Linked DNA regions of Anolis sagrei. The protein of the gene in region 1 purifies or fractionates together with the protein of each later gene. This does not show direct contact. Links are inferred from orthologs where the notes say so. Each region holds a gene or a part of one and is shown on either strand. Other genes may lie near its edges. The genes, in order: CTNNB1, SMARCA4, YAP1 and PTPRU.

Region 1 (7,267 bases):
ATAATGTGTCATGTTATTTTTCCGTGGTAGTACTGCTAATTTGAAGTACTCAGTGATGATTATTTCACTGAAGATTATGGATTAAACAACTATTCATTTTTGTTGTTGATATAATCTGTGGATTTATGAAGGAGATCTATATATCTATACAGGAAGGAGTCAACTATCAAGTTAGATAAATTTATCTTATAAACATGCTGTATTATGAGGGGAGCATTTCTAGGTACAGTGAAAGACAGGCATAAAATACTTTAGCAAACGTGTTACATAGTTTTCTGCTGAGAACTGCACTATTTTAGCAGCTTCCAAAATTGCTACTTAAACTGCAGGAACAAGGCAACGCCCTCAAGTTAGGTTAGGCATTCAGGTCAGGAATGCAAACATTTCCAACTTTGATTGGGCATAGTGGAATATTTAAAATTATGCTTGAAGTTTTATTGAAATACCTAGGCTTGTACTGTTACTCCAAGATATCAGGAAATACCATTAGAAAACACTTATTGATAAATCACAACTTCATCTAGATTTGTTTTTACATTCCCATTGACACACATGTCTTGAGCTCTTTTTAAAGGCAGTACTAAATTATTACAGCTTCTTTATACACCTGAAAGACAGAAAGCACAATTCTGTGGATTTAATGTATTTAGGTAACAGCTTTTCATAAGTCATAGCAGTACTCTCAGGACCCTTCCACACAAGCCCTTTATCCCAGAATCTGATCCAAGGGGCCTTCCACACAGCCATATAACCCAGAATATAAAAGAATAACCCACAATATTTGCTTTGAACTGGGTTATCTGAGTCCACACTGCCACATATTCTAGTTCAAAGAAGGTATTCTGGGTTACATGGCTGTACGGAAGGGCCCCAAGATTATCCCAGGTTATCTGGCAGTAGGGGCTCATATATTCCATGTTTCAAGCAGATAATGTGGAATCAGATCCTGGGATGAATGGCAGTGTGGAAGGGCTCTCAAAGTAATATGCAGATACACCCCTCCCTCTAAATATGGGGGAGGGGATAAATCAACTTTCATAGCTAATGCAATTTCAAATTAAATGGCAGGACCAACAGTCCCAAAATATCTTCCAGGTGAGATGTCTAAACAAGCCTTGGGATACTTTCCCCTGCTGGAGACAACAAATGAAATAGTACATTTCCCTGGAATGGGAATGGCTTCCCAAGTGCCCTTCCACACAGCAATATAACCCAGAATATCATCCTAGAATATCTGCTTTGAACTAGATTGTCCGAGTCTACAATGCCACATATTCCAGTTCAAAACAAAATAAATGTGGGATTGTATTCAGCTGCGTGGAAGGCATCCCACACTCTCCCCCTCTGGCTGTTAGAAATTGTGGGAATTTAAGTCCAAAACACCTGGAGGGACAAAGTTTGCCCATGCCTGATCTACACTTTCAAACTGAGCTACAAAACACCGTGATCTTAGTCGGATCCTGTACGGAAGCCTGCCCTACATCTACTATCTACACTTTCAAACTGAGCTACAAAAGGTTCTTGTGGGTTTTTTTGGGGCTATATGGCCATGTTCTAGAGGCATTTTCTCCTGACGTTTCACATGCATACGTCAGGAGAAAATGCCTCTAGAACATGGCCATATAGCCCCAAAAAACCCACAAGAACCTAGTGATTCCAGCCATGAAAGCCTTCGACAATACATTGAGCTACAAAACATTGTGTGCTTAGTCGTATCCTGTACGGAAGCCATCGAAGCCTGCCCTACATCTACACTTTTTAAGTGAGCTACAAAACACGGTGTGTTTAGTCGGATCCTGTACGGAAGCCATCGAAGCCTGCCGTACATCTACCATCTACACTTTTAAACTGAGCTACAAAACATAGTGTGCTTAATCGGATCCTGCACAGAAGCCATCGAAACCTGCCCTACATCTACACTTTTAAACTGAGCTACAAAACATGGTGTGCTTAGTCGGATCCTGCACAGAAGCCGTGCAAGCCTGCATAGTACACTTTCAGGGCTCCAGCAACCAAGAGCGCCCCTCCCGCAAAGTATGCAACCTGAACCAAAGCCAAAAGAAGAGGAACTTCATTGCACACAATGCAAACAAACCCGAGACGATTTCCCATCCCCTCCCCCCGCCCCTCGCTGGAGGTTTGGAGGCGACACCCCGCCAGGAAGTCGGGACGGAAGGGCTCCCAAATCCCATGTCGTGCAAGGCGCCCGCTCGCGAGGCATTGCGGTTTGAGGAGATCTTTTGCAGGGATCCCCACCTCCAGGATCCGCGTGAGGAAGGAGAGAGTTGGGGCGGATCGCTGCCTGGAAACCTCCCTTCGCCTCAACACCGTAGAAAGTACAACACGCAGGCCGAGAAAGCCTCCCCACCGCAGGACAACAAACAAGGCACGGAGCGGCCCTTGTGCAAGGCGATCCCACTGCGAGAACTTGCATCGCGGGCACACAAGGGGCGAGAGGAGGGGGTAGCTCCGTCCCACCCACTCACTCACTCACCCACCCCCCAAAATGGGAGCAAACACGCCGGGACCTCCCCCTCTCGGACCCAACTCTCCCCCTTTCCTGCCTCAACCGCTCCCTCCCTCCTTCTCTCCCTCCCCAAGTTCTGCCCCACTCACTTTGCCATTTCTCCCCGCCTCACACTTATCTCCCCCTCCCTCCAAAACACACCAAAATCCACTCACTTCCTGTAGGGAACACACCGCTGCCTTATTATTGCTCCCTCCGCCAACCTCAAGGAGGAAAAGTAGTGCGACCAAGCCCAAGTTTCTCTGAGGAATGAGGGGAAGCGCGAAGGGGGAGAGAGGAAGCCCCCGAAAGGAAAGAAGCTGCAGCAAACCGCGAACCCTTTATCCCTCGCGTCAGGCGACGGAAACCCCCTTTCTTTCCCCCGCTTCTCACCTCGCCCGGAACGGTCCTTTTCCCCCCGTCGCCGTCGCTCCCACCGAACCAAGAGAGAGAGAGGCTTAAAATGGCGCCGCTCACCAGGAGCCTCTTATAGTGAGGGTGTAGACTTCTCTGTGTATCCTGCCGCCGACGAGCCCCGAGCGCGCGCGCGCAGCATTCCACAAGGTAGAGAAAATAGTCCCCGCTCCGCCCAATCAGCGGCCTGCTTCGTGCTCGCGCACACATACACACACAGAGGCGCGCGCGCCCTCTCTCTCTCTCTCTCTCTAGGAAGCAACTAAACGCGGAGGGAGATAAAGTGAGGGGAAAAGAAGAGCTTCAGTGTGTATCGAGAAGGAAAGGGATTGTGGGAGCGCGCGGGAGGGTGCAGGGATTCGCCTCCGAGTGTAATGAGGCGCGGAGGGGGCTACTTTTGGGAACTGAGAGAGAGAGAGACACCTTTTTCTACGCGAGGAATGAGGCGGCTTCCCGCAACCTGAGGGGAGAGAGGCGCGAGCGCGGGCTGCAGAGCCTGGCTTCTCTCTCTCTCTTTCCCCCCTCCTCCTTTTTTAAAGCTACAGGCACCCCTTTGCATCCTAGTATGGTTTTTATACCAGAAGACTTGTATTTCTTTTATTATTATTTATTTACAGTATTTGTATACCGCTTTTCTCACCCCGAGGGGGACTCAAAGCGGTTTACACATAAGTAATGGCAAAATTCAATGCCACTACAAACAATTAAAATTATACACTACAATTGAAGGAGCTGGGGGTGGTGACGGCCGACAGGGAGCTCTGGCGTGGGCTGGTCCATGAGGTCACGAAGAGTCAGAAACGACTGAACGAATGAACAACAAACAATTAGACATAAATCAAGTTAAAAACAGTGCATCCACAAGTAATAAAACAATCGTTAAAACAATAAAACAGTTTCGTCAGTCAAATCGCCATTCCAGTCATTGTCTTTCTGAAATGCTGCATACATTTCCTTCTACTGCCCAAAGGCCTGGTCCCAATACCATGATTTTAATTTTTTTCTAAAAGCCAGGAGGGAGGGAGCAGATCTTACCTCATTTGGGAGTGTGTTCCATAGGCAGGAAGCCACAGCTGAGAAGGCCCTGTCTCTCGTCCTCGCCAGACGCCTCTGTGCTGTTGACAGGAGCGAGAGCAGGGCCTCCTATGCGGTGGGATGTAGGGGTGGATGCGTTCGGACAAATAAGCTGGGCCAGAACCGTATAGAGCAGTGGTTCTCAACCTGGGGTCCCCAGATGTTTTTGGCCTACAACTCCCAGAAATCCTAACAGCTGGTAAACTAACTGGGATTTCTGGGAGTTGTAGGCCAAAAACATCTGGGGACCCCAGGTTGAGAACCACTGGTATAGAGCTTTATAGGTCAAAACCAGCACTTGTAGTCCCCAATCATGTCGTTTCAGGGAAACCCAGCAAATACTTGGGATGTTATGTCTCCCTCAGGATCCGCGAAGAGGAAACAAAAACGAAGGAATTCAAAAGTTTGTCTTACCTCCTGACTTTTCCAAGCCTTTTTAGTGTTGCTTGTGTGACTGTGGAGTGGAACAGACAACTCCACATCTGTATGTTTGTCCACTGTGCCCTGTCTCATGTACAGAGGAGGAATTGTTGGAGGCTATAGACAATGCCATTGCTGTTGCCCGTTTTGAATCAAAAGATATTTAGCCGCCTGTGAGCCTTCTATTTTTATCAGTTTTATACTAATTCATGCAATGCTTTTGCTACAAAATAAAATAAAAATGTTGCTAGATATGAATATTGTTTGCCACTCCTTTCAAACTCCAGAAGACTTCCATCCTCATGCCTCTCTCAAGGATCATCCAGTTTGAATTGGGAAAGCACAACTGGCCATCACCCAGCCTCTGTTTCGAAGCCTCCAAAGAAGGCGCTTCTTCCCTATCCTTTCAACAAGGCAAGTTGCTGTGTTTACATTAGTGCGTTCTCTTCATAGAAGGCCTTGAAAGGAGCAGAAGGGCTTCAAAAGTCAAAATAAACAGAAAAAGGTGTGGGAAACTTCCTAACAAAAGTCCCCCACATGTTTCCAAACTTCACTCCAGGCTGGAACGGGAAAGTCAACAAGAGAAGTGGATGGGAAGTGTTTCCACATGAGAGAGCCTGCCATTTTGAGGCCTGGAAGGAAAAGATGAAGGGAAGTATATCTACAACAGACATGGGTAAACTTGGGCCCTCCAAGTGTTTTGGATTTCAGCTCCCACCATTCCTAACAGCCTCAGGCCCCTTCCTTTCCCCCCTCAGCCGCTTAAGGGCCCAAGTTTGCCCTTGCCTGATCAACTGTAGGATTAATGCATCTTGGCCGATAAGTTGCTGAGCCAAATTCATCTAAAGCCCTAAACAATTCGGGCCCCACCTATCTCCCTCTATGAACCGACATCTCCCTCTATGAACTGGCACAGACACTAAGATCCACCAGGAAGGCCCTCCTCTCGCTCCCACCACTGTCTCAAGCCTGGCTGGTGCTGACAAGAGAGAGGGCCTTCTTGGTAGTGGCCCCCCAACGCACTCCCCAAGGAGATAAGGCTGGCCCCATCCCTCACCTCCTTCCGTAACATCTTGAAGACCTGGTGGTTTCATCAGGCCTTCGATAAGAACTAGTTTCAAGCCCTTGGTCCAACAGTTAGGAGTTGGCCTTGTACTCCATTCATTCCCCAGTTCCAGGTCATCTGAGGGCACCTTTTCTTCTGGCCTAGACCTTTTTTTATAGTCCTTTAATTGACCCTAGAATTGAGTGGCCCCTAGTAGGGTAATTGCTGAGACTGATCCTTGTACTATAGTATTCTGCTACAATAGAGGAGCTTTTTTGTTGAGTTCCAGGGCCAAAGAACTGCCTGTCTCAGGGGAGCGTGTTTGCTCTATCAATGTTCAACATTTACACAAATGACCAGCCATTGCTAGAAGGGACAGAGTTTCATCTATGCTGATGATCATGCCATTACTGCTCAAGCAGGGAGCTTTGAGATGGTTGAACAGAAGCTCTCCAAAGCTCTAGGAGGGGGCTGAGGATCTACCCTAGCAAACCTTTTGTATCATTATCCCAATATCCCCATGCATATGGGATATATTGAGCATGGTGATCAGGTCAGATTAATGGAACATCTCAGCAAGAGAGAGTCCAAAAGTGGCAGGCTCAAACCGCATATCGCATTATCACGGGGTGTCTGTGCCCTAAACCACTGGAGAAATTACACTTTAGTCAGTATTGCACCACCTGACATCTGCTGGGGTGTAGTAACCAATAGTGAAAGGACCAAGGCAGTGACATCTCCAGCCCACCCCGTTTGGGTATCAGCTAGCACGTCAATGCTTTAAATCAAGAAATAGTTTTCTGAGATCTACAGAGACACTCGCTGGGACATCTCAGCAAGCGAGAGTCCAAAAGTGGCAGGCTAAAACCCAGAACCTCAATCAATGGCTGATACCGGATGAGAGACTCCCTCCTGGGCACACAGAAAACTGGGTGATTTGGAAGGTGCTCTGGCACCACGAAATGCAGAGCCAACCTTAAGAAATGGGGCTACAAAGTGGAATCCACGACATGCGAGTGTGGAGAAGAGCAAACCACAGACCACTTACTACAATGCAACCTGAGCCCTGCCACATGCACAATGGAGGACCTTCTTGCAGCAACACCAGAGGCACTCCAAGTGGCCAGATACTGGTCAAAGGACATTTAATAGAATACCAAATCTGCAAACTTTGTGGTTTGTTTGTTTTTAATGCAATACAACTGTTTTGGTTCGCTCTTGACACGATTAAAAAATGCATTGGCTCAATCCCAGAGTCAATTTGGCGCTTTGTTTACAGCCTTAGCCCCGCCCCCTTGTAAGTGGGCGGGGCTAAGGGCAGGGAGGCCACGTGAGGGACGCTCGGACCCGCGCGCCGCCCTTTCATCCTGGTCTTTGGTGGGGGATTCAGAGAGAGAAAGAGCTCTCTGATGCCTTAAGATAGCTCTCGCTTGATTGATCCCTAATGCCATTAATCCTATGCAAACTGCTGGAGGGGAGGAGTAGGAAGCTTACTTGGAGGGGATACAACCCAAAAGAGGAGGGGGGGGGGGAGTCAGAGTTTCCTTCTGCAGCCCAGATGCAATCCACATCCTGACGCAGGAGCCAGACCCTCTCTCTCTCTATAGCAATCTCATCGGGACTCACGTCTAAATCAGGCTACACAGAAAACGGTTTGTGTTGTGCAACTTAGATTTGTAGTTGTCTGGCGTGGGCGGGTCCCTTAAGTCTTTTGTGGGCGCTGAATGTATCATCTAATTCTAACCCATTTTATTCTCTGTCCCAAGGCAGCAAAAATGCAAGATACTCCACTTTGGCAGAAAAAATGA
Region 2 (7,586 bases), on another chromosome or scaffold:
CTTCATTTCCCCCCTCAGCTGTAGGTTCTGTGATGTTTTTTTTTCTCCCCTTTTTAATAGTTTGAGTTAATGTTTTCTGATTTTTTTGAAAACAAAATAAAAACTTATTTGCATTGAAAGCTATGCAACACTCGTTCAGTTCTGAAAGAAAAACATGGAGACATGGAGGTCCTTCACACTATGAGCTGCAGATCCAGTGTGGAGTGGTGGTGTGAGCGATGGACGGGTAGACTGCGTGGCTCGTATAACTCAGGGCGTGTTGAGGCCTGGTCTGAGGAGGAGGGGGATCCTTTGGAAGTGGGGCCTTGTGCTCCTGAATTGGAGCCTGATGTGGAGTCTGAATTGGAGCCCCCCATAACTCCGGGACTGCCAGTACAGTGAAAAGATGGATAAAACAAAGGGTTGTTGTAGGTATTTTTCCGGGCTGTATGGCCATGGTCTAGAGGCATTCTCTCCTGACGTTTCGCCTGCATCTATGGCAAGCATCCTCAGAGGTAGTGAGGTTTGTTGGAACTAGGAAAAAGGGTTTATATATCTGTGGAATGACCAGGGTGAGACAAAGGACTCTTTCCTGCTGGAGCTATTATTATTATTATTAACTTTATTTGTACCCCGCTAGCATCTCCCGAAGGACTCGATGCGGCTTATAAAGGACAAGCTCTCAAAACACAACATAACAATACACAACCAAGGTGTGAATGTTTCAACTGACCACCTTGATTAGCATACAATGGGCTGACTGTGCCTGGAGCAAACTTTTGTTGAGAGGTGATTAGATATGCCTGCTTGTTTCCTGATTGTTTACTCTCTGTTGTTGTGCTGTTGTAATTTTAGAGTTTTTAATACTGGTAGGCAGATTTTGTTCATTTTCATGGTTTCTTCCTTTCTGTTGAAATTGTCCACATGCTTGTGTATTTCAATGGCTTCTCTGTGTAGTCTGACATTGTGGTTGTTGGAGTGGTCCAGTATTTCTGTGTTCTCAGATAATATGCTGTGTCCAGGTTGGTTCATCAGGTGGCTGATTTCTCTGGTTGAAGTAGTCTGCAGTGCCTTTCCTGTTCCTTGATTCGTGTTTGGGCAATGCTGCATTTGGTGGTCCCAAATGCAGAGAACAAAATCAACCTCTGTACATGGCATTCATCGACCTTGCAAAGGCATTCGACACAGTGAATCGCAGCGCTCTCTGGACCATCCTCCAAAAAATCGGGTGCCCAAACAAATTTGTGAACATCCTGCGGCTCCTCCATGATGACATGATGGCAACAGTTTTGGACAGCAGTGGCTCCCAAAGTGACCCATTTAAGGTGGAATCGGGTGTCAAACAGGGATGTGTTATTGCCCCAACTCTATTCTCCATCTTCATCACTATGATACTTCACCTTGTTGACGGGAAGCTTCCCATTGGAGTGGAAATCATCTATCGGACAGATGGCAAGCTATTCAACCTCAGCAGACTGAAAGCCAAAACCAAGGTCACAACAACATCTCTTATAGAACTCCAGTATGCTGATGACAACGTCGTCTGTGCGCATTCAGAATAAGATCTACAAGCCACTCTAAACACCTTTGCAGAAGCATACGAGAAGCTCGGCTTGTCATTGAACATTGAAAAAACCAAGGTGCTTTTCCAGCAGGCACCAGCCAACCCCTCTCCAATGCCAGTGATACAGCTTAATGGTGTAACACTAGAAAATGTTGATCATTTCCGCTACCTTGGCAGCCACCTCTCCACCAAAGTCAACATCGACACCGAAATACGTCGCCTGAGCTCTGCAAGCGCAGCATTTTTCCGAATGAAGCAGAGAGTGTTCGAGGACCGGGACATCCGTAGGGATACCAAGGTGATTGTTTATAAAGCTATTGTCCTCCCAACCCTGCTCTATGCCTGTGAGACGTGGACTGTCTACAGACGTCACATGCAACTCCTGGAACGATTCCATCAGCGCTGCCTCCGAAAAATCCTGCAAATCTCTTGGGAAGACAAGCTGACAAATGTCAGCGTGCTGGAAGAAGCAAAGACCACCAGCATTGAAGCGATGGTCCTCCACCATCAGCTCCGCTGGACCGGCCATGTTGTCCGGATGCCTGACCACCGTCTCCCAAAGCAGTTGCTCTACTCCGAACTCAAGAACGGAAAACGGAATGTGGGTGGGCAGGAAAAGAGATTTAAAGATGGGCTCAAAGCCAACCTTAAAATCTCTGGCATAGACACTGAGAACTGGGAAGCCCTGGCCCTTGACCACTCCAGCTGGAGGTCAGCTGTGACCAGCAGTGCTGCAGAATTTGAGGAGGCACGAGTGGAGGGTGAAAAAGAGAAACGTGCCAAGAGGAAGGCGCGTCAAGCCAACCCCGGCCGAGACCGCCTTCTACCTGGAAACCAATGAAGAAGAAGAAGATGCAGAGCAAGAATAGGGCTCCACAGCCACATACGGACCCACAAGAATATTGGAAGACAATCATCCTCGGAAAGCGAGGGATCGCCTAAGTGAAAGTGAAGTAAGGTCCCTATGTAGACTTGTACACAGCTGCATGGTACCCGGTAGACTCCTGCAGAAGTGAGAGGATCCCTCTTGTCCTTTGCTGAACGTAGCATTTGTTGGATTTTCTTGGTGGGTTTGTAGATACTTTGTATGTTGTGTTTCCTCATCAGCTTCCCTATGCGGTCAGTGGTTCCCTTGATGTATATTTGTATGATCCCTCTTGTCCTTTGCTGAACGTAGCATTTTTTGGATTTTCTTGGTGGATCATACACAGAGGCGGCCCTAGGTACTTTTCAATGGTAAGCAAACAGTATCCCCCCCCCCCAACCAATCACTGATATATATTTTCTGTTCATCGTGGGACTTCTGTGTGCCATAATTGGTTCAATTCCATCATTGGTGGAGTTCAGAATGCTCTTTGATTGTAGGTGAACTATACATCCCAGTAACTACAACTCGCATATGTCAAGGTCTGTTTTTCCCCAAGAGTGCTTCAAGAGTGCCCCTGGGCAAAATCAACTATACTGCAAATGCTTACTTTGCGTAATGGGTTGAGACGCCCCTGATCATACACATTAAAATACAGTCAAGGTAACTTTGGTGGGCCTCGTCCTTGAGTGGCTGCATCTTTTCCTCAGTTTTGTGCCTTCCTGTGTGATATTTCTGTTATATGATATATGATATGTCATTTCCTTGTTGTTGTTCATTCGTTCAGTCGCTTCCGACTCTTCGTGACCTCATGGACCAGCCCATGCCAGAGCTCCCTGTCGGCCGTCACCACCCCCAGCTCCTTCAAGGTCAAGCCAGTCACTTCAAGGATGCCATCCTTCCATCTTGCCCTTGGTCGGCCCCTCTTCCTTTTTCCTTCCATTTCCCCCAGAATCATTGTCTTCTCTAAGTCATTTCCCTGAGGGAAAAATAAACCTCTCAAAAATGTGCACATCGCCTCAGAGAGGCCCCTAAAATGTTCCTTTCCTGAGCAGTCTGGTTTCACGGAAAGGATTCCCATTTCTGCACGTTTTGAGATGGGCCTAATTCTTATTTTGCCAAGAAATAAAAACATGGGTTGTTGTAGGTTTTTCGGGCTGTTTAAACAAAACATGAACACAGAGAGGTGTCAATGTCTTGTCAAAGGCTTTCATGGCTGGAATCACTGGGTTGTTGTAGGTTTTTTCGGGCTATATGGCCATGTTCTAGAGGCATTCTCTCCTGACATTTCGCCTGCATCTATGGCAAGCATCCTCAGAGGTAGTGAGGTCTGTTGGAACTAGGAAAAAGGGTTTATATATCTCCAGAAAGACCAGGGTGGGACGAAGTACAAGAGTCAACCCTTCTTTTTAAACAGAGGCTGGATGGCCATCTGTCGGGGGTTATTTGAATGCGATGTTCCTGCTTCTTGGCAGGGGGTTGGACTGGATGGCCCATGAGGTCTCTTCCAACTCTTTGATTCTATGATTCTTCCTAATGTCTTTTAAAGGGATTTACTTTGGTGTCACCATTGTCCTTTAATCTAATTTCAGAACACTTTTTGAAACATTTTCTTTCTAGGAAAATGGGTTTATATATCTGTGGAATGACTGTGGTGGGGCAAAGAGCTCTTCTCTGCTGGAGCTGGGTGTGAATGTTTCAATAGAGAGGTAAAATCCTCCCTTCAGAGCTCGTTGCCTGCCTCGCAAATCCCCCTTCCCCCAATATTCTCCTCAGCCGCAGTGGTGGCCGCAATGCGCATGCGCACCGACGCCGCGGCCGGCTGGTTGGGGGGATGGGCACAGCCCTCGCGCTGCCAAAGCGCGCTCCTTTGCCTCGCGAGGCGCGCCCCCGTACGACTGGGAAGCCCGCCCCTTTCTCTACGTCATTGGCTGAGGCAGAGACAAAAGAGGAGGAGAGACATATTTGCATTCAAAGAAGCATAACAGGCCGCGTCACTTATGGGCAGAGAAATAGCAAAGGCCGGTGTAGAAATGTAAAGCGTGTCGCTATTGGCTGTTAAGAGAAAGCCTCATTCTCTAGACTTCCCGCCCATCTTTTCTGATTGGCTGGCGCTCGGAGTCTGAGTCTAAGCGAAGGAGGCGGGCGTAACACCCTGAGTGAGGGTTGTGAAATCCGCTCTGATTGGTGCGTCGAGAGGGAGCCTCGTTGAGCCGGTTAAGGAACGCGCAAAAGAAAGAAAGGAAGAAAGAAAGCCTGTGGGGAGCGCGCCCACGCGAGCCCAGCAGGAGGCGCGCAGGCGAAGGGCGGGGGAGGAGGAGGAGGAGAGAGCATCTCTTTGAGAGACGCAGGCAGTCACCTTCTTCTTTGTTCGCCGTCCCCGCCCGCGCTGGAACTCCTGGGCCGCCCGGTAAGCGAAAGGGCGCCGCGGGAGGGGATGGGGAGGGTGGATTGCGCATGCGCGGGGATGGCTCGCTGAATGAATGAGTGCAAGCCCGTGTGGACGGACCTGGGAGAGGGCATCGCGGGTGGGAGCATCCCACCTGAAGAGGAGGAGGAGGAGGGGGCGGGGAGAATTGGAAGGAAGCAGAGCATCCTTAGCCGGAATCTCACCTTGGATGGTAAGAGGGTGAACGTGTGAATGCCTGTACCCGTGTCTTCCTATTCCCATCCTCCCCCTCCTCTTTTCTCCCCTTTTTATTGCTCTTATTTCAGCCTCTGAAATATATAATCAACTCATCCATCATCAACATCATTATTATTATAATATTGTGAATGTGAACATTGACATATTTTGACAACACTATGATTAAAAATATAATAATAACTAGCCGTCCCCTGCCACGCGTTGCTGTGGCCCACATCAGGGTTCTGTGGCCCAATTCTATCGTTGGTGGGGTTCAGAATGCTCTGCGATTGTAGGTGAACTATAAATCCCAGCAACTACAACTCCCAAATGTCAAGATTCTATTTTCCCCAAACTCCACCAGTGTTCCCATTTGGGCATATTGAGTATCTGTGCCAAGTTTGGTCCAGATCCATTATTGCTTGAGTGCTCTCTGGATGTAGGTGAACTACAAAGCCAAAACTGAAGGTCAATGGCCATCAAACTCTTCCAGCGTTTTCTGTTGGTCATGGGAGAACTGTGTGCCAAGTTTGGTTCAATTCCATTGTTGGTGGGGTTCAGAATGCTCTGCGATTGTAGGTGAACTATAAATCCCAGCAACTACAACTCCCGAATGTCAAGATTCTATTTTCCCCAAACTCCACCAGTGTTCACATTTGGGCATATTGAGTATCTGTGCCAAGTTTGGTCCAGATCCATCATTGCTTGAGTGCTCTCTGGATGTAGGTGAACTACAAAGCCAAAACTGAAGGTCAATGGCCATCAAACTCTTCCAGCGTTTTCTGTTGGTCATGGGAGAACTGTGTGCCAAGTTTGGTTCAATTCCATTGTTGGTGGGGTTCAGAATGCTCTGCGATTGTAGGTGAACTATAAATCCCAGCAACTACAACTCCCAAATGTCAAGATTCTATTTTCCCCAAACTCCACCAGTGTTCACATTTGGGTATATGGAGTATTCGTGTAGAGTTTGGTCCAGATCCATCATTGCTTGAGTGCTCTCTGGATGTAGGTGAACTACAAAGCCAAAACTGAAGGTCAATGGCCGTCAAATTCTTCCAGTATTTTCTGTTGGTCATGGGAGAACTGTGTGCCAAGTTTGGTTCAATTCCATCATCGATGGTGTTCAGAATGCCCTTTGATTGTAGGTGAACTACAAATCCCAGCAACTACAACTCCCAAATGACAAAATAAATTTTTTTGAGTGGAGAACATACATTGGGTTGTTAGGTGTATTGTGTCCAAATTTGGTGCCAATTGCCCCAGTGGTTTTTGTGTTCTGTGGATACCACAAACGAACATTACATTTTTATTTATATAGATTTGAGCCTCTGAAATATATACTCATCCATCATCAACATCATTATTATTTGGATTTTTAAAAAAGAAAATATAATATTCCGAATGTGAACATTGACATATTTTGACAACACTATGATTAAAAATATAATAATAACTAGCCATCCCCTGCCATGCGTTGCTGTGGCCCACATCAGGGTTCTGTGGCCCAATTCTATTGTTGGTGGAGTTCAGAATGCTCTTTGATTGTAGGTGAACTATAAATCCCAGCATCTACAGCTCCCAAATGTCAAGATTCTATTTTCCCCAAACTCCACCAGTGTTCACATTTGGGCATACTGAGTATTCATTTATTATTTATTTAAAACATTTATATTCTGCCCTTCTCGCCCCGAAGGGGACTCAGAGCGGAGCACAACATATACATGGCAAACATTCAATGCCTGGGTACAATACATAAACATTAAAAACATTTATCTAAATATTAAAATACACCATTTAAAATAACACAATTTAAAACCGTCCTAACCATCCGCATCAAATCCAATTGGCCCTGTCATCTTCATGTAGAGTTTGGTCCAGTTCCATCATTGTTTGAGTCCACAGTGACCTCTGGATGTAGGTGAACTACAACTCCAAAACCAAAGGACGCTGCCCACCAAACCTTTCCAGTATTTTCTGTTGGTCATGGGAGAACTGTGTGCCAAGTTTGGTTCAATTCCATCGTTGGTGGGGTTCAGAATGCTCTGTGATTGTAGGTGAACTATAAATCCCAGCAACTACAACTCCCAAATGTCAAGATTCTATTTTCCCCTACCTCCACCAGTGTTCACATTTGGGCATATTGAGTATTCATGTAGAGTTTGGTCCAGATTGAATTGAATACTTTATTTGTATACCGCTCTTCTCAGCCCTTAGGCGACTCAGAGCGCTTAACAACAGTTTCAGTATACACAATACAAAATCATTGGGCATTTAAAAGCAATAGCATCAGAAATCATTAAACATCAGCACCAATACATCAGTACATCAATACAACAAATATAACAAATCCATCAGGTCTCATCAATGAAATCAGAATCCAAACTCGTTATCCATTATTCCGTGTTCCGATAATCAATCACTCATCCAGATCCATCATTGTTTGAATCCACAGTGATCACTGGATGTAGTGAACTACAACTCCAAAACCAAAGGACACTGCTTTCCAAACCCTTCCAGTATTTTCTGTTAGTCATGGAAGAACAGTGTGCCAA
Region 3 (7,998 bases), on another chromosome or scaffold:
GAACAATAAGTGGAAACTACAGCTAAACCTGAAGATAAATGTCCTAATTATATGAGCAATGTAATAGTGAAACAGCCTGCCTTGGGAGGTAGAGGCCTTTCCGTTGTTGTTGTTGTTGTTGTATGTCTTCAAGCTTTCCAGTGCATGATGACTCTGTCATTTAGTTTTTTTGGCAGGATTTGTTCAGAGGGGACATGCCTTTGCTTTCCTCTGAAGCTAGCATGACTTGCCCAGGGTCACCAAGTGGGTTTCCATGGTCAAGTGTAGATTCAAATCCTGGTCTCTCAATTCAGCACCAATGCTTAACACTACACCATGCTAGCTTGCAGACTTTTCTTGACTTGGAGATACTTAAGCAGATGCTGAACCAGGTGCCTGACACTGAAGATGGTACATGACCGGGTTGGATTAGATCAGTGGTTCTCAATCTGTGGGTCCCGAGGTGTTTTGTTCTACAACTTTCAGAAATCCCAGCCAGTTTACCAACTGTTAGGATTTCTGGGAGTTGAAGGCCAAAACATCTGGGGACCCACAGGTTGAGAACCACTGGACTAATTTCTAGTTGTGTTTTAGTTCTTTGGTTCTAAGAGTTTATCCAGAAATTCTAAATACTCCAAAACCATCCTTTGTATGACAGAGATAGTGTCACCTTTGGTTTCCTCAAGGTTTAATGTACACCAGGTTTGTTTCATGCACAAAATTATTAAAAATATTTCATGCACAAAATTATTAAAAAGGTTAGCTTCAGACTACGTGTATAATGAGATGTATATAAAGCATACATTGGTTTCTTGTTTGGATTTGAATTCCAACATCAAGATACCACATAATGTACATATATACAAATATAGGCATTTCAAAATCCAAAAGAAATCCGAAATGAAATGCTTCTAATTCTTTCAAATAAGAGATACATAACCTGTATATTTAACAATAACCACAGTTTGCCTTGCTTTGGACATAAACAAAAATCACAATTAATTAGGAAAACAAGCAGCTTATTTCAGTCATCTCCTCATATTTGGGTCACATCAAGAGGGAGTGGTTTAGTGTTACACATAAAAATCAAGCATTTTATTTATAATAATAATAATAATAATAATAATAATAATAATAATAATAATTTGTTTTCCGCTCTATCTCCCCAAGGGGACTCAGGGCAGATTATATCCTACCTTTTGTCCAAAAATGGGGTTCAAAAGCAGGACAAGAGTGCTTAACTCAATTTAAACCAGGCTCTAGAACTCTTTCACAAATGAGTACTATCCATTATTACATTATATTAATGCTATATACTTTTTCTTCCAGGATGCTCATGGCCTTTGTTATCCATCATCGAACAGACATGAGCAGAATTTTGCCTATTTGATCGTGAATCCTTTGAAACGGCACATTTATGTTTTGTATCATTCTTACGGCGGAGCTTTGTTCTGTAATTGACTGGGTTTGATTCCTCAAGTTTATTTGATGAATAGATGAATTCTCCTTAGATATAGATTTGTCAGGATTCTGTTCTTTTCAAAGAGATCTATGTTATCTACACACGTTTTCCCCTTCCCAGAAATCTAAGGTACTCAGTATGGTTTCAAACACATATTTTGTATTATTAATGTTACAGACTTAATACCCATATCAATACTTGTGCAATGTACTATTTGAAAAGTTTTGCTGTTGCTGAATTATATCCTGCCTACAAAGACTCTTATTTGAAACTATCATAATAACATTTACATTTGTGTTTTCTTAACCATAAATAAAAACTTTTTAAATGTTGTGTACATACATTTTGAGTATGAAATAGCAATTTTAAACTATGAAAACATATAACTATTGGTTTGGAATTTGATTGATGAGTCTGTTGTTGATGATTGATGGGTCAAGAAACAGTTCTCAGTTCAGATTGCTTATGTGGTCCTAAAGCAGCAATAATTTTATAATTAATGAGGGAATTTTTAAAAAAAGAGAAAGTGAACCCCAACATTTTGTAAAACATTTTGTTTGTTTTACACTGTAGAAGTGATGCAGTTTGGTACTACTTCAACTCCCATGGCTCCATGGTATGGAATGATGGGAGTTATCATTTTTACAAGGTCATGGGGAGGCATGGGCAAACTTGGGCCCTCCTTCCAGGTGTTTTGGACTTCAACTCCCACCATTCCTAACAGCCTCAGGTCCCTTCCCTTTCCCTATGTACAGAGTTGCCTTTTTTACACAGTTGCCTTTTTACACACAGTAGCCTTCACACTGGAGCTTCTTACACAAAGTCTTCAACCTGATTGTTTTTAAATGTTTTAATTGTTTTAATGTACTTTAAAATTATATTTTAATATTTATTTAACTGTACATTGTGTTTTAAGGCATCAAATTGTTGCCTTTTTGTAAAGCCGACTTGAGTCCCCTCCAGGGTGAGAAAGGCAGGATAGAAATGTTGTAAGTAAATAAATAAATAAACCTGGGGCTTCTCTCACCAGGCTGTCCTCACACCAGGCCTCTCACACACTGAGGCCTACTAACTCTGAGGCCTACCTGACACTTGCTGCCAGTTTGCTACCGAGCACAATCCAAAGTGCTGGCTTTAGACTATAAAACCCTAAATGGTTCTGGCCCAACTTACATGTCCGAATTTATCTCTCCCTATGAACCATCTAGGAGTTTAAGATCATCTGGGGAGGCCCTGCTCTTGATCCTGCCTTCTTTGCAGATGCAACTGGCGGGGCCGAGAGACAGGGCCTTCTCAGTGGTGGCCCCTCAACTGTGGAACTCCCTCTCTAGGGATATTAAATGAACCCCTTTCCTCCTGACTTTCCACAGACCAGTGAAAACATGGCTATTTGAACAAGCCTTTGGGAATCTAGTACAATAAATAAACACGGAAGTATGTGAAATCAAATACTGAAACAGCTTAGACAATGTTTTTGGACGACGAGGTTTTATATGTTTTTAAAGGTTTTAATGTATGCATTTTATAAATCAAAAAAAATATTGTAATTTTTACATTGTTTTAACGGCATCTAATAGCTGCCTATGTTGTAAAGCCATCTTGGGTCACCTTCAAGTTCAAGAAAGGCGGGATAGAAATATCGTAAATAAATAAAGGGCTTGAGGCTGCTTTTTTTCTCGTGTCAGGCGCGACTTGAGAAACTGCAAGTCGCTTCTGGCGTGAGAGAATGGCTGCTGGGAATGGTGGGAGTTAAAGTCCAAAACACCTGGAGGGAGGGCCCAAGTTTTCCCAGGCCTGGTCTTTAGCTTTCTGTGCGAGAAGCTGCTGGTGCCTCACCAGACTGCAAATCCTTGGATTCCATTGCATTGTGCCATGGCAGTTCAAAGTGGTGTCAGGTTGTGACAATTCTTCACCCTGAAAGCATGCCACCTTCATCTTAGCTGCTTACTTAGGTGATCTAATTCAAGGTGCAGGTGCTTACCTACAAAGCCCTAAACGGTTTGGGACCTGCCTACCTGCGTGACCGCATCTCCGTTTATGAACCCACGCGCTCCCTTCGTTCATCCGGAGGGGCCCTGCTCGCGATCCCACCTGCGTCGCAGGCACGTTTGGTGGGGACGAGGGACAGGGCCTTCTCTGTGGTTGCCCCCCAACTCTGGAACACCCTCCCCAAAGACATTAGACTAGCACCCACGTTGGCAGTCTTTAGGAAAAACTTGAAGACCTGGCTATTCAGATGTGCTTTTCCGGAATAGGATAACCCCCACTATGTCCCAGAAGCACTTTATTAGAGTTTAAGACTCTCTGCACATTGCACTTGCCCAGAATCCCAACATACTACCTCTCACAGCCAGCACTTTTTAACCTGTACCCATCACTGGCCCAGCCCTGGTTTTTATTGCGTAATAGTGTAATGTTTTCTTATTGCTTATGTTTTTAATTTGCTTTGCATCGTATTGTTATTGTTTGCTGTTGTTGTGTTGAGGCCTTGGCCTTTGTAAGCCGCAATGAGTCCTTCGGGAGATGCTAGCGGGGAACAAATAAAGTTTAATAATAATAATAATAATCCCTCGTTGTCGGAGTAAGGTTGGTTTACTGGCAGTTGGTACGTAGGTGACTGTGGAGCCCTATTATTGATCTGCATGTTCTCCCGCAGTGAGGGCATCGGTTTCCAGGTGGAAGGCGGTCCCGGTCGGGGTTGGCTTCATGCACCTTCCTCTTGGCATGTTTCTTTCTTTTGCTCTCCATTCCTGCTTCTTCAAATTCTACAACACTGGTGGTCACAGCTGACCTCCAGCTGGAGCGCTCAAGGCCCAGGGCTTTCCAGTTCTCAGTGTCTATGCCAGAGTTTGACATTGAGTTTATTAAGGTTTACTTTTGAGCAGACAATAGTTAAGATTGCAGGCTGTGATTTATTTTGGGGGGAATAAAGAGGTAGGGTAAGCAAGGGTTGATTCTCCACCAAGCTTGCTAGAGAAGCCTTGCTGCAAAGCAACCACAGAACACAAAGTCCTGGCAATGATTGCAGAGGTGTCCTTTCCCTCCCCTTCCCTTCCCTCCTCCTCTTCCATGGGGGCTTTGAAGCCTGGTGGGTTGGGGTCTTGTTTCCTTTCCCCCTCCCTTTCTCCTCTTTTTAATGGTGTGTGTGTGTGTGTGTGGGAGGCGAAATACTCCCACTTTCCCCTCCTTTTCGTCTCCGTGGGAGGGTTGGAAAACTTTTTTTTTTTTGGAGGGGGAGACAGGATGAGGAGGGTGGGTAGAAGTATAAAATACACGGTTCCTGGACACTAGTGGAGGCCAAGAAAACGACTCGGGCGGGTTTGCTTGAAAAACGACTAAAAATAAAAACACAACAATTGTCTCAGCTGGAAAAGAGGAAAAAAAGAGCCACGAAAGTAAACGTGAGGGAATCCCAACACATTGAAGTCTTTAAATCAGTGCAAAATTGCTTTTAAAAAAATCAGAGTGGGCGGGCGCGTGAAAGGAGAATTGAAACAGAGCCTCCTTTAACTCTGGCTGGGCTGCATTAAGCCCCGTCGAAATTCGGCGCGGGCGGGCCCTCGCGGGGCGGAGCTGGCTCGGGCGGGCGACTTTGGGAACTTTTGTTTGGCAGCGTTTGAGCTCCTGATCAACGACAAACAGGGACGTCGAGGCATTATAGATAGATCTATACATCTATTTTCTTTTTTTTCCTCAAAGCTGGGACGGATTAGAGGAGAAAATTGTCGGGAGAGTTGAAAAAATTTTGCGTGCGAAGGAAGGAAAAAAAAGAATCAAGAACTGATTCCTACAGAATTGACTCGGGCGGGCGCCTTTGCGAACTTTTCTTTAGGAGTCAGTCAAAGAGATAATTGAGAAGTAACCAACTTATATCGGAGTTGGGACGGATTAGTGAAGGAGGAAAGGAAGATTGCAGTGATTGCGATTGATTGACAGGCGGCTTGGAGGAAAAATTGCTCTGAAAGGATTTCCGCGCGGCCGGGCGCGAGAAGAGGGAGAAAAAAAATCTTCAGTTTCTGCGGCCGGGCTACATTGAGTCGCATTAGAGGCGGAGTTCGGCGCGGGCGGGCTAGTTTGCGAAGTTTTGTTTTGAGCTCGGCTGAAGGAGAAAAAAGAAGCAAGCGAAGGTTTCGGGGGATGAAAGACGGCCAGCCGGGAGCGGAGGCTTGAGAGAAGCAGCCGAGGAGGGGGAGAGGAGGAGGAGGAGCCCCGTCGCCCGCCATGGAGGCCTCCGCAGCGGGGCAGACCCCTCCGCAAGCCTCGGCCCCGGAGAGCGGCGGCTCCGGGCAGCAGCAACAGCCGCCTCCGCCCCCGCCGCCGCCTCCGGCCGGACACCAGATCGTCCACGTCCGGGGAGACTCGGAGACCGACCTGGAGGCCCTCTTCAACGCCGTCATGAACCCCAAGGGCGCCAACGTGCCCCACACGCTGCCCATGAGGCTCCGGAAGCTGCCGGACTCCTTCTTCAAGCCGCCAGAGCCCAAGGCCCACTCCAGACAGGTGAGCGGGAGGAAGGGGCGCCCTGGACACTGGGCATTGCAAGTACCTGCTGAGCTGGAGTTTGGCAATCCCTACTCTAACCTCCTGGGGTGCATCTACATGTAGAACAGGCATGGGCCAACTTGGGCCCTCCCTCCAGGTGCTTTGGGCTTCAACTCCTACTATTCCTAACAGCCTCAGGCCCCTTCCTTTTCTGGGAAGAGTAAAAATGCCTCTGTGTGAGAGAAGTTTCACTATGAGGAAGGCCTGGTGTGAGAGAAGCCCTGTGTGAGAAAGCTCCACTGTGAAGGCTGTTGTGTGTAACGCTACAAGGTCTTTAGCAGGTATGGGCCAACTTGGGCCCTCCCTCCAGGTGTTTTGGGCTTCAACTCCTACTATTCCTAACAGCCTCAAAGTTTCACTATGAGGATGGCCTGGTGTGAGAGAAGCCCTGTGTGAGAAACCTCCAGTGTGAAGGCTGCTGTGTGTAAAGCTACAAGGTCCTTAGCAGGTATAGGCAAACTTGGGCCAGGTGTTTTGAGCTTCGACTCCTACAGCCTCAGGCGCCCTCCTTTTCTGGGAAGAGTAAAAATGCCTCAGTGTGAGAGAAGTTTCACTGTGAGGATGGTCTGGTGTGAGAGAAGCCTTGTGTGAGAAAGCCCCACTGTGAAGGCTGTTATGTGTAACACTAGAAGGTCTTTAGCAGGTATGGGCAAACTTGGGCCCTCCTGAGGAAGGCCTGGTATGAGAAAGCCTATTAAAAGAGAAGCCTTGTGGGAGAAAGCTCCAGTGTAAGGGCTGTTTTGTGTAAAACTGCAAAGTCTTTAGCAGATATGGACAAACTTGGGCCCTCCCTCCAGGTGTTTTGGGCTTCAACTCCTACTATTCCTAACAGCCTCAGGTGCCCTCCTTTTCTGGGAAGAGTAAAAATGCCTCAGTGTGAGAGAAGTTTTACTATGAGGAAGGCCTAGTGTGAGAGAAGTCTTGTGTGAGAAACCTCCAGTGTGAAGGCTGCTGTGTGTAAAGCTACAAGGTTTTTAGCAGGTATGGACAAATTGGGCCCTCCCTCCAGGTGTTTTGGACTTCCAACTCTCACCATTCCTAACAGCCTCAGGCCCCTTCCTTTTCTGAAAAGAGTAAAAATGCCTCTGTGTGAGAGAAGTTTCACTATGAGGTAGGCCTGGTGTGAGAGAAGCCCTGTGTGAGAAAGCCCCACTGTGAAGGCTGTTGTGTGTAAAGCTACAAGGTCTTTAGCAGGTATGGGCAAACTTGGGCCCTTCCAAGGAAGGCCTGGTATGAGAAGGCCTGGTATGAGAGAAGCCTTGTGGGAGAAAGTTCCAGTATGAGGGCTCTTTTGTGTAAAGCTGCAAGGTCTTTAGCAGATATGGACAAACTTGGGCCTTTCCTCCAGGTGTTTTGGACTTCCAACTCTCACCATTCCTAACAGCCTCAGGCCTCTTCCATTTCTGCAAAGAGAAAAATGCCTCAGTGTGAGAGAAGTTTCACTATGAGGAAGGCCTGGTATGAGAGAAGCTTGTGTGAATGCTGCTGTGTGTAAAGCTACAAGGTCTTTAGCAGGTATGGGCAAACTTGGGCCCTTCCTCCAGGTGTTTTGGACTTCCAACTCTCACCATTCCTAACAGCCTCAGGCCTCTTCCTTTTCTGCAAAGAGAAAAAATGCCTCAGTGTGAGAGAAGTTTCACTATGAGGAAGGCCTGGTGTGGGAGAAGCCTTGTGTGAGAAACCTCCAGTGTGAAGGCTGCTGTGTGTAAAGATACAAGGTTTTTAGCCGGTATGGGCCAACTTGGGCCCTCCCTCCAGGTGTTTTGGGCTTCAACTCCTACTATTCCTAACAGCCTCAGGCGCCCTCCTTTTCTGGGAAGAGTAAAAATGCCTCTGTGTGAGAGAGGTTTCACTATGAGGAAGGCCTGGTATGAGAAGCCCTGTGTGAGAAAGTCCCACTGCGAAGGCTGTTGTGTGTAACACTACAAGGTCTTTATTAGGTATGGGCAAACTTGGGCCTTCCAAGGGAGGCCTAGCATAAGAGAAGCCTTGTGGGAGAAAGCTCCAGTGTGAGG
Region 4 (7,478 bases), on another chromosome or scaffold:
TGTCAAGCTATAGTTTCCCCAAACCCCATCTGTGTTTATATTTGGGCATATGGAGTATTCGTGGCAAGTTTGGTCCAGATCCATCATTGTTTGAGTCCACAGTGCTCTCTGGATGTAGGTGAACTACAACTCGCAAACTCAAGGTCAATGTCCACCAAACCCTTCCAGTATTTTCTGTTGGTCATGTGAGTTCTGTGTGCCAAGTTTGGTTCAATTCCATCGTTGATGGAGTTCAGAGTGCTCTTTGATTGTAGGTGAACTATAAATCCCAGCAACTGCAACTCCCGAATGACAAAATCATAATTTGTTGAGTGATGGTCACTCCTTGTGTTGTGAGACGTTTTGTTGCCAAATTTAGTGTGATTCTGTTTATTGGTTCTTTTGTTTTTAAGGTACTCATTATGCACAGACCATTTATATATATAGATAGATAGATGATTGGTTGGGGGGGGGCGCCAAAATACTTTTTGCTTGTTGTTGTTCATTCGTTCAGTCGTCTCCGACTCTTCGTGACCTCATGGACCAGCCCACGCCATAGCTCCCTGTCGGCCGTCACCACCCCCAGCTCCTTCAAGGTCAGTCCAGTCACTTCAAGGATGCCATCCATCCATCTTGCCCTTGGTCAGCCCCTCTTCCTTTTACCTTCCACTTTCCCCAGCATAATTGTCTTCTCTAGGCTTTGCTGTCTCCTCATGATGTGGCCAAAGTACTTCAACTTTGTCTCTAGTATCCTTCCCTCCAGTGAGCAGCCGGGCTTTATTTCCTGGAGGATGGACTGGTTGGATCTTCTCGCAGTCCAAGGCACTCTCAGAACTTTCCTCCAACACCACAGCTCAAAAGCATCGATCTTCCTTCGCTCGGCCTTCCCTAAGGTCCAGCTCTCACATCCGTAGGTTACTACAGGGAAGACCATGGCTTTGACTAGGCGGATCTTTGTTGCCAGTCTGATGTCTCTACTCTTTACTATTTTATCGAGATTGGACATTGCTCTCCTCCCAAGAAGGAAGTGTCTTCTGATTTCCTGGCCACAGTCTGCATCTGCAGTAATCTTTGCACCTAGAAATACAAAGTCTGTCACGGCCTCCACATTTTCTCCCTCTATTTTCCAGTTGTCAATCATTCTTGTTGCCATAATTTTGGTTTTTTGATGTTTAGCTGCAACCCAGCTTTTGCGCTTTCTTCTTTCACCTTGATTAGAAGGCTCCTCGGTTCCTCCTCGCTTTCGGCCATCAGAGTGGTGTCATCTGCATATCTGAGGTTGTTAATGTTTCTTCCAGCAATTTTCACCCCAGCTTTGCATTCATCAAGCCCCACACATCGCATGATGTGTTCTGCATACAAGTTAATAAGGTTGGGTGAGATTATTCAGCCTTGCCGTACGCCTTTCCCAATCTTGAACCAGTCTGTTGTTCCGTGGTCAGTTCTGACTGTTGCTCCTTGGTCCTTGTACAGATTCCTCAGGAGAGAGACAAGGTGGCTTGGTATGCCCATCCCACCAAAAACTTGCCACAATTTATTATGATCCACACAGTCAAAGGCTTTAGAATAGTCAATGAAGCAGAAGTAGATGTTTTTTTGAAACTCCCTGCCTTTCTCCATTATCCAGCAGAAACAACTACCATCCGGTCAGCCTCATGTCGATACTGGGCAAGATTCTGGAAAAGATTGTTAAGAAAGCGGTCTGCAAACACTTAGAAACAAATGCAGTCATCGCTAATAGTCAACATGGATTTATCAAAAACAAGTCATGCCAGACTAATCTGATCTCTTTCTTCGATAGAGCTACAAGCTGGGTAGATGCGGGGAATGCTGTGGATGTAGCGTACCTGGATTTCAGTAAGGCCTTCGACAAGGTCCCCCATGACCTTCTGGCAAGGAAACTAGTCCAATGTGGGCTAGGCAAAACTACGGTGAGGTGGATCTGTAATTGGTTAAGTGGACGAACACAGAGAGTGCTCACTAATGCTTCCTCTTCATCCTGGAAAGAAGTGACGAGCGGAGTGCCGCAGAGTTCTGTCCTGGGCCCGGTCCTGTTCAACATCTTTATTAATGACTTAGATGAAGGGCTAGAAGGCATGATCATCAAGTTTGCAGATGACACCAAATTGGGAGGGATAGCCAATAGTCCAGAGGACAGGAGCAGAATTCAAAACGATCTGGACAGATTAGAGAGATGGGCCAAAACTAACAAAATGAAGTTCAACAGTGACAAATGCAAGATACTCCACTTTGGCAGAAAAAATGAAATGCAAAGATACAGAATGGGGGAGGCCTGGCTTGAGAGCAGTACGTGTGAAAAAGTTCTTGGAGTCCTCGTGGACAACAAGTTAAACATGAGCCAACAATGTGATGTGGCGGCAAAAAAAGCCAATGGGATTTTGGCCTGCATCAATAGGAGCATAGTGTCTAGATCTAAGGAAGTAATGCTACCCCTCTGTTCTGCTTTGGTTAGACCACACCTGGAATATTGTGTCCAATTCTGGGCACCACAGTTCAAGAGAGATATTGACAAGCTGGAATGTGTCCAGAGGAGGGCGACTAAAATGATCAAGGGTCTGGAGAACAAGCCCTATGAGGAGCGGCTCAGGGAACTGGGCATGTTTAGCCTGAAGAAGAGAAGGCTGAGAGGAGATATGATAGCCATGTATAAATATGTGAGAGGAAGCCACAGGGAGGAGGGAGCAAGCTTGTTTTCTGCTTCCTTGGAGACTAGGACGCGGAACAATGGCTTCAAACTACAAGAAAGGAGATTCCATCTGAACATTAGGAAGAACTTCCTGACTGTGAGAGCCGTTCAGCAGTGGAACTCTCTGCCCCAGAGTGTGGTGGAGGCTCCTTCTTTGGAAGCTTTTAAGCAGAGGCTGGATGGCCATTTGTCAGGGGTGATTTGAATGCAATGTTCCTGCTTCTTGGCAGGGGGTTGGACTGGATGACCCAAGATCAGCCCCCTCGCTGATGGTATTCCGAAGAAGATTAAAAACCTGGATGTTCGAGCAAGCATTTGGTTAATTCGGTGCAATGAATGGGATGATTAAGGATTGGTAATATGGATGACGAAACTGGACCACGATTTTAGTTAAGAGATGCATTGAATAGTGATTTATGTGTCAACATTGTGTATTATGTTTTTTATGGTTTTAAATTGTATATTGTGGATTGTGTATTTTGTTGTAAACTGCGTTGAGTCGCCAGCTAGGCTGTACAGTAAATAAATAAATAATAAATAAAATAAAATAAATAAATAAGAGGTCTCTTCCACCTCTTTGATTCTATGATTCTATGATTGGCAATCTGGTCTCTCGTTCCTCTTCCTTTTCTAAACCAGGGCACTCATTATGCACAGACCATTTATATATATATATATAGATGATTGGTTGGGGGGGGGGGGGCGCCAAAATGCTTTTTGCTTTTTGTTGTTCATTCGTTCAGTCATCTCTGACTCTTCGTGACCTCATGGACCAGCCCACTCCAGAGCTCCCTGTCAGCCGTCACCACCCCCAGCTCCTTCAAGGTCAGTTCAGTCACTTCAAGGATGCCATCCATCCATCTTGCCCTTGGTCGGCCCCTCTTCCTTTTGCCTTCCACTTTCCCCAGCATAATTGTCTTCTCTAGGCTTTGCTGTCTCCTCATGATGTGGCCAAAGTACTTCAACTTTGTCTCTAGTATCCTTCCCTCCAGTGAGCAGCCGGGCTTTATTTCCTGGAGGATGGACTGGTTGGATCTTCTCGCAGTCCAAGGCACTCTCAGATCTTTCCTCCAGCACCACAGCTCAAAAGCATCGATCTTCCTTCGCTCAGCCTTCCCTAAGGTCCAGCTCTCACATCCGTAGGTGAGTACAGGGAATACCATGGCTTTGACTAGGCGGATCTTTGTTGCCAGTCTGATGTCTCTACTCTTCACTATTTTATCGAGACTGGACATTGCTCTCCTCCCAAGAAGGAAGCGTCTTCTGATTTCCTGGCCACAGTCTGCATCTGCAGTCATCTTTGCACCTAGAAATACAAAGTCTGTCACAGCCTCCACGGTTTCTCCCTCTATTTTCCAGTTGTCAATCATTCTTGTTGCTATAATCTTGGTTTTTTTGACGTTTAGCTGCAACCCAGCTTTTGCGCTTTCTTCTTTCACCTTGATTAGAAGGCTCCTCAGCTCCTCCTCGCTTTCGGCCATCAGAGTGGTGTCATCTGCATATCTGAGGTTGTTAATGTTTCTTCCAGCAATTTTCACCCCAGCTTTGCATTCATCCAGCCCCGCACATCGCATGATGTGTTCTGCATACAAGTTGAAAAGGTTGGGTGAGAGGATGCAGCCTTGCCGTACGCCTTTCCCAATCTTGAACCGTTGACAATTACCTAGGGCCGCCTCTGATTGTGAGTCCTGGGGCTGTCCTGCTCCTCGCTGGGCCAGCAGGGGGCGCCCGCTCCTTTCCCAGCCCCCTCCCCAAATCCAAATCCAACCCCACGGGCCCCCGCCCCGCCCCCTTCGCTTCGCCTGGGAAGCCTGACGTCACTTCGCCGCGGGGGGTTGGCTGTTTTTTTGGGTTGGTTTGGTGCGTGCCTGCGGAGGAAAGGCTCGGCTCCGGCTTCTCCGCCCGGAAGGAAAGGCACAACTCGGAGTCCGCAATCTCGGAGACCCCGCGCCACACAGGAGATCAAGGCGGATCATTATCAGAGTCCACACTGCCATCCAATCCCTTTCAGTTTGGCCTTGGGGCAACTTTGTGGGAAAGGCCTGCAAGCGGAGAAGATTGCGGAAGGAGAAGTCGGGAAGGAGGAGGAGGAGAACTTTTCTTGGCGGCTCGGCATGCAGGGCAACGCCGCCCGCGCCGTGCTCCTCGCGCTCGCCCTCCAGCTCTGCTCCGCCGAGACCGAGGCGCCCGCGGGAGGAGGAGGAGGAGGAGGAGCAGGTCAGTCCCTTCCCCCCCCTCCCCCTCCCTCTGCCCCTGCCCTTTCGGCGCCCTTTGGGGAAGGGGCCCACCTTCCCTCCCCTTCCCTACCTTCCCCATTCCTCCCGGTCTCTCGGGGCCCCCTCAGTACCTGTTTGGCCACCCACAAGATCTGCTTGGAGCTGGGTTATCTGAGTCCACACTGCCACATTTTATTTATTTATGTATTTACTTTATTTGTATACCGCACTCTCTCAGCCCGTAGGCGACTCAGTGCGGTTTACAACCAGGGCAATATACAAAGGTGCACAACATTAGCATTAGCATTTCAAAACAGTAACTAGAGCAGTGTTTCTCAACCCTTGAGGGGGTCGTGAGGGGGTGTCAAAGGGGTCGCCAAAGAACATCAGAAAACATAGTATTTTCTGTTGGTCATTGGGATTCTGTGGGAAGTTTGACTCAATTCTATTGTTGGTCGAGTTCAGAATGCTCTTTGATTGTAGGTGAACTATAAATCCCAACAACTACAACTCCCATATGTCATAGAATCATAGAATCAAAGAGTTGGAAGAGACCTCATGGGCCATCCAGTCCAACCCCCTGCCAAGAAGCAGGAGTATTGCATTCAAATCACCCCTGACAGATGGCCATCCAGCCTCTGCTTAAAAGCTTCCAAAGAAGGAGCCTCCACCACACTCCGGGGCAGAGAGTTCCACTGCTGAACGGCTCTCACAGTCAGGAAGTTCTTCCTCATGTTCAGATGGAATCTCCTCTCTTGTAGTTTGAAGCCATAGTTCCGCGTCCTAGTCTCCAAGGAAGCAGAAAACAAGCTTGCTCCCTCCTCCCTGTGGCTTCCTCTCACATATTTATACATGGCTATCATATCTCCTCTCAGCCTTCTCTTCTTCAGGCTAAACATGCCCAGTTCACTAAGCCGCTCCTCATAGGGCTTGTTGTCAAGGTCTATTTTTCCCAAACTCCACCAGTGTTCACATTTGGGCATACTGAGTATTCGTGCCAAGTTTGGTCCAGATCCATCATTGCATGAACCCACAGCACTCCTCTGGGCATAGGTGAACTACAACTCCCAAACTCAAGGTCAATGCTCACAAAACCCTTCCAGTGTTTCCTGTTGGTCATGGGAGTTCTGTGTGCCAAGTTCGGTTTAAATCCATTGCTGGTGGCGTTCAGAATGCTCTTTGATTATAGGTGAACTATAAATCCCAGCAACTACAACTCCCAAATGACAAAATCAATCCTCCCCTCAACCCCACTAGCACTCACATTTGGGCATATTGCGTATTTGTGCTCACTTTAGTCCAGTGAATGAAAATGCATCCTGCATATCGGATATTTACATTACAATTTATAACAGTAGAAAAATGACAGGTATCAAGTAGCAACAAAAACAATATTATGGTTGGGGGTCACCACAACATATGGAACGGCATAAAGGGGTCACGGCATCAGCAAGGTTGAGAACCACTGAACTAGAGCAACTAAATCACATAACAATACATCAGTACATCAATATAACAACAATACATCCATATAACTAATCCATCACGTCTCATCAATAAAGTCATAATCCAATCTCCTCGTCCATTATTCCAAGTTCCAATCTCAATCAATTGATTGCACTGCTTAATTAAACGCCTGTTCAAAGAGCCAGGTCTTCACTCTTCTCCTGAACGCCAGCAGGGAGGGGGCCGATCTAATGTCTGCGGGAAGGGCGTTCCACAGCCGAGGGGCCACCATTGAGAAGGCCCTGTCTCTTGTCTCCATCAGTCATGCCTGCGAGGCTGGCGGGATCGAGAGCAGGGCCTCCCCGGACGATCTTAATGTCCTAACTGGTTCATAGGGGGTGATGCGTTCGGACAGATAGGTCGGGCCAGAACCGTTTAGGGCTTTAAAGGCTAAAGCCAGCACTTTGAAATGTGCCCGGTAGCAAATTGGCAGCCAGTGGAGCTGGCGCAACAGAGGAGTGGTGTGCTCCCTGAATGCCGCTCCCGTTAGCAACCTGGCTGCTGCGTGCTGGACCATCTGAAGCTTCCGAGCAGTCTTCAAAGGCAACCCCACGTAGAGAGCGTTGCAGTAGTCTATACGGGATGTAACCAGTGCGTGGACTACCGTGGCCAAGTCAGACTTCCCAAGGTACGGGCGCAGCTGGCGCACAAGTTTTAATTGTGCAAATGCTCCCCTGGTCACCGCTGAAACCTGGGGCTCCAGGCTCAGCGATGAATCCAGGATCACACCCAAGCTGCGAACCTGCGTCTTCAGGGGGAGTGTAACCCCGTCCAACACCGGCTGTAACCCTATAACCTGTTCGGCCTTACGACTGACCAGGAGTACCTCTGTCTTGTCTGGATTCAGTTTCATCTAGTTCAGTGCTTCTCAACCTTCCTAATGCCACGACCCCTTCATTCTCATGTTGTGGTGACCCCCAACCATAAAATTTGTTCCCTTGCTGCTTCATAACTGTCGTTTTGCTGCTGTTATGAATAGTAATGTAAATATCTGATATGCAGGATGTATTTTCATACACTGGACCAAATTCGGCACAAATACCCAATACACCCACATTTGAATACTGGTG

The links.
Region 2: the proteins of CTNNB1 (region 1) and SMARCA4 purify together in Homo sapiens (affinity purification with western blotting; 3 studies listed by BioGRID and IntAct, with this or other methods). This does not show direct contact. The link is inferred for Anolis sagrei from reciprocal best matches to the Homo sapiens genes CTNNB1 and SMARCA4.
Region 3: the proteins of CTNNB1 (region 1) and YAP1 purify together in Homo sapiens (co-immunoprecipitation; 11 studies listed by BioGRID and IntAct, with this or other methods). This does not show direct contact. The link is inferred for Anolis sagrei from reciprocal best matches to the Homo sapiens genes CTNNB1 and YAP1.
Region 4: the proteins of CTNNB1 (region 1) and PTPRU purify together in Homo sapiens (affinity purification with western blotting; 3 studies listed by BioGRID). This does not show direct contact. The link is inferred for Anolis sagrei from reciprocal best matches to the Homo sapiens genes CTNNB1 and PTPRU.

Annotation. Positions count from the first base shown.
Region 1 is NC_090026.1:76,601,298-76,608,564, forward strand, and holds the start of CTNNB1 (catenin beta-1), read right to left. Parts: upstream 3,014-7,267; 5' UTR 2,900-3,013; intron 1-2,899. UniProt on the Homo sapiens protein: Key downstream component of the canonical Wnt signaling pathway.
Region 2 is NC_090022.1:171,359,606-171,367,191, forward strand, and holds the start of SMARCA4 (transcription activator BRG1), read left to right. Parts: upstream 1-4,576; 5' UTR 4,577-4,818; intron 4,819-4,869; exon of another isoform or gene 4,870-5,029; intron 5,030-7,586. UniProt on the Homo sapiens protein: ATPase involved in transcriptional activation and repression of select genes by chromatin remodeling (alteration of DNA-nucleosome topology).
Region 3 is NC_090023.1:23,007,539-23,015,536, forward strand, and holds the start of YAP1 (transcriptional coactivator YAP1), read left to right. Parts: upstream 1-4,981; 5' UTR 4,982-5,662; coding exon 5,663-5,941; intron 5,942-7,998. Other genes in the region: CFAP300 (cilia- and flagella-associated protein 300), read left to right, coding at 1,309-1,440. UniProt on the Homo sapiens protein: Transcriptional regulator with dual roles as a coactivator and corepressor. Critical downstream regulatory target in the Hippo signaling pathway, crucial for organ size control and tumor suppression by restricting proliferation and promoting apoptosis.
Region 4 is NC_090034.1:64,386,785-64,394,262, reverse strand, and holds the start of PTPRU (receptor-type tyrosine-protein phosphatase U), read left to right. Parts: upstream 1-4,470; 5' UTR 4,471-4,800; coding exon 4,801-4,903; intron 4,904-7,478.